Linked DNA regions of Callithrix jacchus. The protein of the gene in region 2 interacts with the protein of the main gene of each other region in a pairwise test. Links are inferred from orthologs where the notes say so. Each region holds a gene or a part of one and is shown on either strand. Other genes may lie near its edges. The genes, in order: MALL, MS4A12 and PLLP.

Region 1 (4,308 bases), on a different chromosome or scaffold from region 2:
TTTTTTTTTTTAAGACCAAGCCAGCAACTTTAGTTAGGACACTGCAGATCACATTGGAATAACAGGTTTGTGAGGCTATAGTGTGCACCACATTAAAACAGCAAGAAAGCTATTCATATAGAAAGGCTGGAATGAGGGATTTTTCACTAAAGCAAATTAACCTCTTGTCAACTGCCAAAACAAAACCGAGCATGAGTGTTAGTATACTGAAGGCATGTCATACCAGTTTCTGAGCAGCATGCTAAAAGTTAGAACTTCTTCACTGGTGCATATCAATCACTAATAGTCACGTTTTTGCCCCTTCTTGCCAAATTTCAGGCATGTCTTATTTTAGATGGAGTATAGCTTTTATCTATTATTTCGTCTTGTAAAAACATGTGAAGACAATGTTCATTCTGTGCCAGAGGATGACCAGGAACCTTGTTTATAAACTGCTCCAGCCCTTGTTTTCTTTCCTCAATAAAATTGTCACCAAAGATTCTATCATCGCCTCTAAAAGGAAGCTGATGCAAAACGCTTTCCCAGGGAGCGGGGGAACTACATCTCCTCCTGCTACATTTTAAAGCATTTTTATAGTGTGTAGTTTGGCCTAATGAAGTATTTTTATGGCCAAAAAAAAAAAAGCGGCTGAAGGAGCTTGTGGTCCCCAAGCACGTGATGGACATGGTGGATGAGGAGCTCAGCAAGCGGGGCCTGCTGGAAGAACTGTAAGTTTTTCACCACTGAAGAATTTACTCATGTAACCAGATTCTACCTGTACCCCAATAGCTTATGGAAAAATACATTTTTGAAAAGCAAAACAACAACAAAAAAACTGATCAGTACTCTTCAGAAGTGTCAAGAGAAAGACCCAGATTGTCCCAGATTAAAGGAGATGAAAGAGATACGACAACTAAGTACAATGTGGGATCCTGGCCAGGATCCTGAACCAGTAAAAGGACATTAGTGGGGAAATCAGCAAAATTTGAGTAAGGTTTATAGAGTACTCTATAGCACAGTATCAGTGTTAGTTTCCTGATTTCAATAGCTGTATGGTGGAAGATGTGGGCATTAGGGGCAACTGAGGGAAGAGTACACAGAACTTTCTGTACTATCATTGCAGCCTGACTGTAAATCTAACGTTACTTAACAGTACAAATAAATGAAGAAAATTGGGCCAATGTCAATTTTGATTGTCACTGAGCCCTTCATCTCCCACAGCATGTAAGTCCCCAGAGTCCAACAAGAGTGTATGCTTTGCTCTTCCAGGAGTTGCACTGGCAGGAGCAGGGCAGGTGGGGCCACCATGACCTCTCACAGTTCTCATCCTGGGCGTTTTCCTGATTCCAGACACTCCATGCCTCTAGCCTCCTGCCAGGAATTCTCCCTTGGCCTCTAGGCCTTTCCCTCTCTTCCCCCCAGCCTAGAAATACCTGTTCTTTGAGGTCCAACTCTTGGTGGCAGGCCTGGACCCCTCCCTGGCCTGGAGGGTTCAGATCCCTCCTTGCTGGGGCCACTGTTCAACTGTGGGGAGGAGACACTCACGACTCCCTGGCAGACAGGAGACCACCAGGAGTCAGTGCCCTGTCACTGGGGGCCTGCAGGACTGACATAAACCACAGGCTCAATAAAAAGAGGTGGAGTCAACCAGTAACCCAGTTGCCCTTGCAGCTGCTCCAACGTGAGGGGCACACCTAGGGCCTGGCACATAGGACTCATCAGAGCACAGTAATGTCATCAGTCTGGCAGGATGCCCACTGTCTGGCTCTGCCAGGGGTGGCAACCCTGGCAGAAACCTGCCTCTTCGGTGGGCTTTCAGCCCGAGCCACCCAGATGCTAGGCCCACCCTGCCTGGTTCTCTCTGGTTGCCATCAATGGCCATGCTTTAGCCAGTTTGCCTAAAAGTGGCTCCATCAGGTCCCACTTTCCAGGCAGATGACAAGAATGAGAAGGACTAGTCACCTCCCGTCCAATTTAAAAGTAAATCCACTTTCTATCTTTTCCTCCCTGCTCAGGGACAGCACGTCAGGGACAGCATGTCAGGGCAGGTAAGAAAATATCACCTACAAGCTAGATATTTCAGAAGGTGCTGGAAAAACAAAACACACTCCTTTGTCCTGACTGGACCCCAGACTTGAGAGTGCTCCTCCATGAAGAGGGTGTGGTACCAACCGGTTCAGAGGGGACTTGTGCAGTGCAGAACACTGCATCCGCACAGCTCTGCAGATGGGAGCAGCCAGGCTCCCCAGGGATCAGGGACACAACTCAGCTGTGGGGCACCCCAGGGAGTAACACAGTGACAGGTTCTCATTTGCAACCAGGGTGCCTCACAGACTGTTTCATGTCAGATGTTGCCATAGCTACCCTGTGTGGGGACCCACAAAGTCAAAGTTCAAAGTCAGCGGACATGACAATAAAACACTTGAAGGCCTGCTCTTAGAGGGAAACAGTCTCCCACTGCAAACCAAAAACGCACACATAGTTGGAGAAAGGGACTCCACGTTATTAAAATTAATTTCCAACTTCTTCCTGGGAATCCTGGACGTTTTAGCAACGTTTCCCCAGGCCTCCACACCCAGGTGGGTTTTGTTTTGGAGGAAGGAACCCCTGGTGGCCAAAGAGGGAGCACAGAGTGGGATCTGCTGCTTGAGTACAGCTGCATCCTGCTGTGCGTCCATGGGAGACCCTCAGCCACCGCAGCCTCTGCCCTGGGTCCCCCTTCTCTAGGGAGCTGACCGAGGTCGGGTCTGGGGCCTAGGCAGGTTTCACAGCCCCTCCCTCTCTGCAGGTGGCCGGCGGGCCGCACTCACCAGCTCGGGCAGGAAAAAGGCGAAGGGGATGGTGAGGAGCAGCGCGACCCCCGACGGCACGTCGGGCGGGGCGTAGCTGGTGACGGGCGGGTCGCGGGAGGCCATGCTGTCAGCCCCTGCTGGGCACTCTGCGGCAGCTCGCCCGCGCGCAACCCGTCAAATATCACCTCCTGCCGGACACACCCATCGGACGTCGCCAGGAAGGGGAAAAAAAAGTTCCAGTTGAGCAGGTCCTTCCACTCGCTGCAGCCAACAGATCCTCAGTGAGCCGCGCGCTGCGGCATCAGAGGGCTCTGCCTGGCAGGCTGGGGCACAGCGCTGGTGCAGAAGGCAAGCAGTGGGAGTCTTTCTTGACCTTTCCAACTAAGGAATCTTTGACTCCTGGAGCGTGTTATTCCAGGGGATGCCAGCGACAGCCACTCCCCTGGGCCCAGAGTGCAGGCTCAGGCTGCTTGGAGATGAGGGCTGTGTAATGAGGGCCAGCTTCGAGCCAAGCGATCTTCAGACAGCCCGGCTGCCCACCACGCCTGCGCGTGGCTGTTTGGCCCTTTTATAAGTGAGGACACTGAGAATCAGTGAGGTCAGGTCAAGGTCACAGAACTGCTCACTAACAATGCTGGGTTTTGCCCAGCTCCCTCCTTTTCCACTCTTGGGGGCAGCTCTCAGTCCTTAACCTCCCCTGGGAGGAGCAGCCCTCCCTTCCAGCACATGCCGCTGGGACTTGGTGTTTCCTTTCTCTGGATCCCTGTTCATGGCCCTCCACTCCTCTTTTCCTCAAGGGGCAGATGGAGGAAGGCCCCCCTCTCTGGGAGAGGACCACACCAGCAGGCACCCCAGATGGGCTGGGCTGGCTGGCTGCTACCCCTAGTGGTCACCCACCCTCCTTCCCTCCCTGGCCTTCCTCCCAGCTAGTGCCTCACCCCTAACTGGGCTTGGGACCAAGAAGTTTCTTCCTGACTCCTAGGCAAGTAGGGGAACTGGCTGCAGGGCGTGACCCAGAGGCAAGGAACTCATTTCACACCAAATACAAGTTCCAAAGGCCGAACCATTTTCCCCACCACCTTTGAGTTGGCGAACCTTCATTTTCCTGACCCACCCTGAAAGGCCTGGTGTCCCAGAGTCTACTCAGGATGCCTGGGGTTGGGTCCCTTCTTCCTGCCCCTCGCTGCTCTCTAGTGTGGAGAGGATGTGGGGAAGGTTGTGTGAGGGCTGCAGTAATTAGAAGACTCCACGTCCTGACTTCATTAGCAGAAATGGTGAATTTCAGGTCCTGCCCTCAGGGCCACAGGTGGGGAAACCAGCCAACTAGGCCTTTGCCTGGTCTGGGGAGGGCTAAGGGAGAGAGGAGTTTGGACAAATGAAGCCTAAAGCAAAGGCATTGCAGTGGATCTCAAACCAGGCGGATCAGCCCTTTTCCCAGGCTATGGAAACTAGGAAGGAAGGGAGACCGTAATCCCACCTGCCAACCCTAATCTCACCTACACCACCTTGTTTACAGGATGAATCCAAGCAAAGCGGG
Region 2 (4,214 bases):
CATAAAACAAATGTTATTACTTGATTTCGTACACTCATTTGTATTGTTCTTTTTTAATAAGGTGCAGTTATGCAGTAAGTTTCTTACCAATCGTTCTTCTTACCGACCATATATTACTAAAAGTGAGGTATACATCTTTCAGCTCTTTAAACTTCTTATTGCACCTCCCTTCATTGTAAATAAGGATAGATTTCTGGGGAAAAACCATTTCTAGGTTGATCCAAAAGTTGATTGCAGATGTGTAACTTATTTTTCCCCATGTTTACATCTTATCTATCCAGGAAAACTGTAAATACAAAGACTGCTGTATTTATTTCTTCAATAAATAGCTTCTGAATGCAAATAAATTAAAATGAGAAAAAAACCCAGTTTCATAAACAATGCTAAAAGTTTCTTGAGACTTTGATAAAAATATGAACCTTTCTCCCTTAACAATTATTCTTGCACATTCATACACACACGTACCATACTTTTGCATATAGCTTTGGAAAGATGATGGGTCTCCTTGAGCTAATCTCACTTAAATAACTCCTGCCTTAGACTTTATATTTAATTCTGTTGTATTTAATTTATAGTCAATTCTATAGAGCAGCAATTCAGCCACCTGGCCACAACTTTCCATCCTTGTCCTTGCTGTCATCTTGATGAGGGTCAGTTAGATCTGAATTTGCACTGGCCCTCATTTCTCCTCCCACAGCCCTGGTGGTACCATTTACTAGATCAACATTGCCTATGGGACAGACTTAAACATTTGGACATTCAATTTGTTTGCATTTTGGGCCACAGAAGCACTTTAAGGTCTGAGTTGACTGGTACGGATGTGCCATGTGCTGCTACCTGTGGCCCTGGCACTGTCATGATGCCTGGGGCCTGCTGATGGCATAGAAATTACAATCTTCGGAGAGAGGAAGTAGCTTTGTCAACTGGAGCTTTTGAAAGCAAAACCTCGCATTCTTTTAAAGTATTTTGAAGTACTTTAAAATATTTCTGGTACGAGGCAGCATGCTTCAGTGGCTCCTCATTCACTCAGTCAAAGCCAAAGCCTTCTGCTCTGCAGGCCTCACAGGGTGTGGCCTCTGCCAGTCCTCTGCCCTCTTGACAGCTGCTCCCTCCCTCGCTCATTCTGTTCTATTTTATTAGCCTCCTCCCTGTTCTTTAAATACATCACACACATTTTCATCTAAAGACTTTTACATTGGGTGTTTTCTCCTTCCCTGATATCTGCAGGGCTCACTCCTAACTTCAGGTTTTGGCTCAAATGTCATGTTCTAAGGAAAGCCTGTCCTCACTACTTTGAAATTGCTTCCTCCTCACTGCCTGGTACTTCTTAGCCCTTTTACACTTCTTCATTTTCTCTGTATCATTTGGCACCTTCTAAAACACTATGTACTTTACTTCTTTATTATGTGTACAGTCTGATTTCCCACACTAGGCCATAAGGGCAGAGATTGCACCTGCTTTGTGCTCAGTGATATTCCAGGCACCTGTGTGGAGCTGGCTGTATGGGGAGGGGTGTTAGTGCGTCTCACTGGCTTATTAGGAGCAGGAGATTTTCTCTATCTGGGAGGAGGAGGATCAGAAGGGCCACCTCCACAGCTTGGTAAATAGGCTGCTGCAGGAGAACTTATGCTCATTTTTACTTCCCTAAAACATCCAAACTTGAAATAGGTAGTAAGATGGCTAGAAGAATTTTTAGCATATAATGAGCATGTATTTACAGAATGCTCCAGCAGAGAAGTTGGAGCTATGCACTGGGAGAGACTTAATATAATTTGGTGGAATTGTGCTATTTGGAAAGCACAGCAAAGGGACTAACAATTCTACCTCGGCAGGTGGAATTTTCTTACAAATAGGGCATTTTTGTTTTTACGATGCCTACAGAAGCAACATAGTCAGTTCAGAGTCTCCTTTGTAGAAGTAAGGTGACAGTTAAGCCATAGTATCTCTAAGAGTATTGTTGAGAAAGGCACAGCAGGTGGAACATCTTCCAGTTCTTTCACACTCAGCCTTTCCCAGACTGCCCATTTGCAGTTTCCTTTTTTAGGGGCAGCCATCAGTGTTCATTTTTATGTAAATTCACCTTCAGGCAAATAACAGGCTTGTAACAAATCTAGAGATGGGATTGAGATTGTCCAAAAAGTCCTTTGAAGAAATGAAATCAAGCTAGATGCAGTGGTGTTTCTATCATGTCAATATTACTAAATCCTCCAGCTAGGAGGCTCCTCTGTCTCCTGTTAGATTTGTGCTTGATCTGAAATAAAATGAACTCAAGGGAAAGTCTATAGGCAGACTAAATATTTCTATCCAAAAGAGATAGTTTTAGAATAACATTCAAAACTGTTTAACAATTGGATAATATATTTTCTCCTATAACTTATAAGAAGAGCTTGCAAATGTGAAATTAAAATTCTGGTAGTAAAGAGACTTACCCCTAGTGCCTTTGCTTCTTCTTTGAAGTTTATTACTGCCATTCCCAGACTTGGATTTATCATTTGTGAATTTCCTTGACCCGGTTGACTGCCAGCAAAGGTTTCTGGAAATCTGATAGAGTGGGGCTGAGCATCCTGAGCACCCTGGGCTTGGTTTCCTGAGTTGATTGAACCCAGAGGCTGTTGAGATCCAGGAGCCAGAAAGCTGCTTGGTGGGTAAGGGTTGGGTGTGGTTTTATGTACTCCAGCATGGCTTATTGGCTTGGATGACATTCTTATATTCTAAGTGTCACAAAATATACCAAAATGATATATTTATCCAGAAAAGAAACTAAAGAAAATCTTCCCAAATGTCAAATGTCAATTATCCATGCAAATGGAGAGAGCAAGTGAGCAGATAATGGGCCATAACAACTGATAGAAACATGGTTCTCAAAAATCCCCAACCCCTAGGCCAAGGACTGGTACCTGTCCATAACCTGTTGGAAACCTGGCCACGCCATGCAAAGTCAGCAGCCGACAAACATGACTGCCTGAGCCCTGCCTCCTGTCAGATCAGCATGGCACTGGATTCTCACAGGAGCATGAACCCTACTGTGAAGAGCACATGCTGGGGATCCAGGTTGCATGCTCCTTATGAAAATCTAATGCCTGATGATCTGATGTGGAACAGTTTCATCCTGAAACCATCTCTCATCAGAGAGATGGTATGCTGCTGACTGTGAAGATGGAGGAAGGCATCCATGAGCCAAGGAATATGGGTCGCCTCTAGAAGCTGGATGAAACAAGGAAAACAGATTCTGCCTTAGAGTCTCCAGGTCATAGTGAGCTGGTGTTGGGCTTCTGACCTACAGAACTGTCAGAGAAAAAAATTGTATTGTTTTAAGCCACTGTGTTTGTGGTAGTTTGTTATATCAACAAATAGAAAATTAATACAGAGGCCAAATAATACAGTACTTGGATGGCAAGGAGGGCAGTCCAAGGTTAACATTATTTGTCAGTAATTGGGAAACTAGATAGTTCATATGTGCCCGCTTAATTTGATTCTCCTGTTTGTTAGGAAAAATACTCTTATTTATTTTTTATTTATTTCTGTCCTTCTGAAAGTTTACAGCATCTCAGGCCCCATGTGGCCAAGGGAAATTTTGTTGGCAATAAGCCAGGACAACTAGATATGGACAATAATGAGTATTAATCTTTGAAAAAAAATTATGACACTTAAATATTTTGTCTTCAGCCTTAGATTTCTTTTTTTTCTTGACATCTTCTCAAACAATTTTCTTGTACTTAATGAATGTCAAGAAAGTTAGAGTAATGAACATCTCATTCTTGGTATGAAGTATGAATACCATGAATAATCTATTGGTATAATGCATCACTGGTATCTAACAGGGACATATTCAGGCCCTGTGGTCATAGAAACCAGCAGTTTTAGGGAAGGAAATACTCTGTCCATTTATCCTGTCTCATTCCCCTTCATTTATAGATGAGACACTGAATCTGAATCAAGCTAAGTGGCATGCTCAAAGTTACATAGAAAATGTATGACAGAGTTAGGACTCCAGGATGGGATTCTTGGCTGTTGACTCAGAATCTCTCCCCCCGCCCCCAGTCATCCATACAGCATCACTCTGGACACTTGCAGCTTGTTTTCCAGGCCAGCCTTGGTGGCAGGGTATTGAGTCTGCTCCTGCAACTACCCAACAACAAAACTTCTGTCTTCTGATGCCATGAAAGAAGAGGGGTTTATAAACCAGATTAACTTCTTAGTGATGGATTGAGTAA
Region 3 (3,029 bases), on a different chromosome or scaffold from region 2:
GTAGCTGGGACTACAGGTGTGTGCTGCCATGCCAGCTAATCTTTTTGTATTTTGTTTTTTGTTTTGGAGAGGGGAGATGGAGTCTCGCTCTATCGCCCAGGCTGAAGAGCAGTGGTGCAACCTCGGCTCACTGCAACCTCCACCTCTTGGGTTCAAGCGATTCTCCTGCCCCAGCATCCCAAGTAGCTGGGATTACAGGTGCAGGCCACTATACCAAGCTAATTTTTGTATTTTTAGTAGAGATGGGGTTTCACCATGTTGGCCAAGCGGGTCTCGAACTCCTGACCTTAGGTGATCCATGTGCCTTGGCCTCCTGAAGTGCTGGGATTACAGGTGTGAGCTACCACACCTGGCCTGGGATAACTATAAAAACTTGTTGTGAATCAGTTGTGCCACACTGACTTAGGGTCATGTGCCACCTTGGAGAATGTGAAAAACTGCATGCTCTCCCTCTGACAAGTGCACATGCAAAAGCCTTTTGGTTTAAACCATTCTGGGAAATTCATAGGCTGTCCCATGAAACCCAAACTCTGGGCCCACGTTAGGTGGCCAGTGAAGTGGCTGCAGTCCCCTCCACACCTGTCACCCTTCACTCCACCAGGCCTTGCACACCGTCTCCTCCCAGGATCCTGTGACACCCCCAGTGAGGGAGAGGAAGGGATTACCAGTCCCTTTTGATAGACAGGAGGCTCCCACTCAAGAGAGGTTGGGCGCCAGGCCTGGAGCCACGGCCCAGCCTAGGGGAGGGCAGGGCCTCAACTAGCCCTCATTTGGGTTCCTTACTCTTCCTGACAAGGGCAGTTTTGAAATCAGCAAATTTGGTGATGGGGACAGAGTGGGGAGCTTCCGAATGTGGCTGCAGATTTGAGTATAGAGGCGTGAACTGGTTCTAGAAAATCCCTAGGGTGGCCTTTGAATGTTGTCTTTTTAGAACTAAATTCTTGTGAAACCCCGTCTCTACTAAAAACACAAAAATTAGCTGGGTGTGGTGGCGCATGCCTATAGTCCCAGCTACTCGGGAGCCTGAGACAGGAGAATCCCTTGAACCCAGGAGATGGAGGTTGCAGTGAGCCAAGATGATGCCACTGCACTCCAGCCTGGTGACAGAGTGAGACTCTGTCTCAAAAAAAAAAAAAAAAAAAAGAATTAAATCCTTGCTAGGTGTCCCCTCTGTCACTCTTACCTTCTCCTTCATTGCCCTCCTCACAATCTGAAGGCCTGCCTGTGGTCCTTAGCTATTCACCGTGCTTAGAAGGTAATGTTGGCATCCCTGGATGCTGGTGCTCATCAGCCCCACGATAAACAGCTGTGAAATGCGTCTGGCTAAGTGTGAGATGGTGCGGCTGCCACATCTCTTCCTGTCTGGGCCTGAGATCTGTTTGGGACTTGTGTCACTGTCACCCTCTTGCTCCTTAAGCCCTTCTCACCTCTCTTTCAGTTCTTTGCGAGTTTGGTGATGATTGCCTATGGAGTGAGCGCCTTCTTCAGCTACCAGGCCTGGCGAGGAGTAGGCAGCAATGCAGCTACCAGTCAGATGGCTGGTGGCCATGCCTAAACAACCTGTGCCATGGCCCCCTCTGGGGCTGAAGCCGCTGCTGGGTCACAGAGCAGGGTAACCTTGCAAGCCTGAAGCTGGGGAGCCCTGCACAGAGTCAGCCCCGCAGGGACTACACTTGCTCCTCTCTGCCCATCAGACAGAAGCTCTCACAGTGCTAAGGAAGCAGGCCCAGGTTGGCAGGCATCTGGGCTTGTGGGAGGCCAACCACGGAGACCTCCTTTCCATCCCCCTTATTCAGTGGAAGGTGACGGGGGAATCTGAGGCTGTGTCTCTGCCTTGTCTTTGGAGGACTTCAGCGTCCCAGGCTGGGGCCCACCCTTCTCACCAGCCCTAAATGCACTAACAAGGACTCTAGACCTGTAGCCCCAGACCTGCTGTAGTGTAAGCCTAACAGGCAACATGTAGCACCTTAGTCTTTGTTCCGGGAGAGCTGAGCAAGCTCATGAAACCATTCTCCTTCCTTTAAATGCAGTTCCGACCCACCGCTCCCTGGAGCCAACCTGTACAAAGTGGGTTATGATTGTTGACAGCATGGTCTTCCCTCCCTGCATTTCAGACACACCAGTTATTGAAAGCAAATCAGTTTTCAGTGACATCTCAATGCTGAGAAGCCTGGCCAGGTTTTCTTCCCTTTCCCAAGCCTCTCTCTTTAATACTCCCTTTGGGTGAAGCTAACATCAGTGCCAACTGCCTCCCTGACCCTGCCTCCCTGACCCCAGGCACACGGGACGTGAAGGAGGGAGGGAAGCAAGGCCTTGCCTGGCGAATTGTCATGTGGTTGGTGGTGACTTTGTTTTTTTGTTTTGTTTTTATAAAAATAAATATGAGAGAAATTACTTGGACCAGATGTTGGGGAATCATTTTGCAGGTGCTTATAACCTCCAGGAGGCCTGAGCTTGACTGTGTAAGATGCCTGCCGTAGGGCAGTTCACGATCTGGAGTCCTTCAGCACCACCTGCCAACTCTTTGCCCGGAGGGAGGCTACCTACACTTCCTGCTTGCTGTATCTGGAGCAGTCCTGGTTTATGCTGTTTGTGCTTGCATAAGTAGAATAGCATGGCCTTTTATTCTCACAAGTGTCTCAGTTTGGCAATAACTTAGCCACCCTTGCTTTGGGCAGGTTAGGTGATCTTACTGAATGAAAGATTTCAACAGTATCACCTACCTCGAAAGTCTGTGAGTCTCAGAGGTCATATATCAAGGTGGCCGGCCATGCTGCATGTGCAGAGCTGGTAGAGACAGCAGAGGAAAGCAGCTGAGTACTCCCGAGCTTATTTTTCCAACACCACAGAGCAGCCTTCTCTGAACAATGAGGTAAAAGCGTTTCTAGACACCCTCTAGTCCCTTTTTGTTATTTTTTTTTGGAGATAGAGTCTTGCTCTGGTGCCCAGGCTGGAGTACAGTGGTGCAATCTTGGCTCACTGTAACCCCCTCCTCCTGGGTTCAAGCAATTCTCCTGCCTCAGTCTCCC

The links.
Region 1: the proteins of MS4A12 (region 2) and MALL interact in binary tests that used the Homo sapiens proteins (3 or more experiments, as listed by UniProt). The two-hybrid records come from large-scale screens. The link is inferred for Callithrix jacchus from reciprocal best matches to the Homo sapiens genes MS4A12 and MALL.
Region 3: the proteins of MS4A12 (region 2) and PLLP interact in binary tests that used the Homo sapiens proteins (3 or more experiments, as listed by UniProt). The two-hybrid records come from large-scale screens. The link is inferred for Callithrix jacchus from reciprocal best matches to the Homo sapiens genes MS4A12 and PLLP.

The regions. Positions count from the first base shown.
Region 1 is NC_133515.1:21,243,536-21,247,843, reverse strand, and holds the start of MALL (MAL-like protein), read right to left. Parts: upstream 2,922-4,308; 5' UTR 2,895-2,921; coding exon 2,790-2,894; intron 10-2,789; exon of another isoform or gene 1-9.
Region 2 is NC_133511.1:117,601,459-117,605,672, reverse strand, and holds the start of MS4A12 (membrane-spanning 4-domains subfamily A member 12), read right to left. Parts: upstream 2,878-4,214; 5' UTR 2,703-2,877; coding exon 2,430-2,702; intron 1-2,429. UniProt on the Homo sapiens protein: May be involved in signal transduction as a component of a multimeric receptor complex.
Region 3 is NC_133521.1:15,138,102-15,141,130, reverse strand, and holds the end of PLLP (plasmolipin), read left to right. Parts: intron 1-1,438; coding exon 1,439-1,555; 3' UTR 1,556-2,394; downstream 2,395-3,029. UniProt on the Homo sapiens protein: Main component of the myelin sheath that plays an important role in myelin membrane biogenesis and myelination. Plays an essential function in apical endocytosis. Regulates epithelial development through the regulation of apical endocytosis.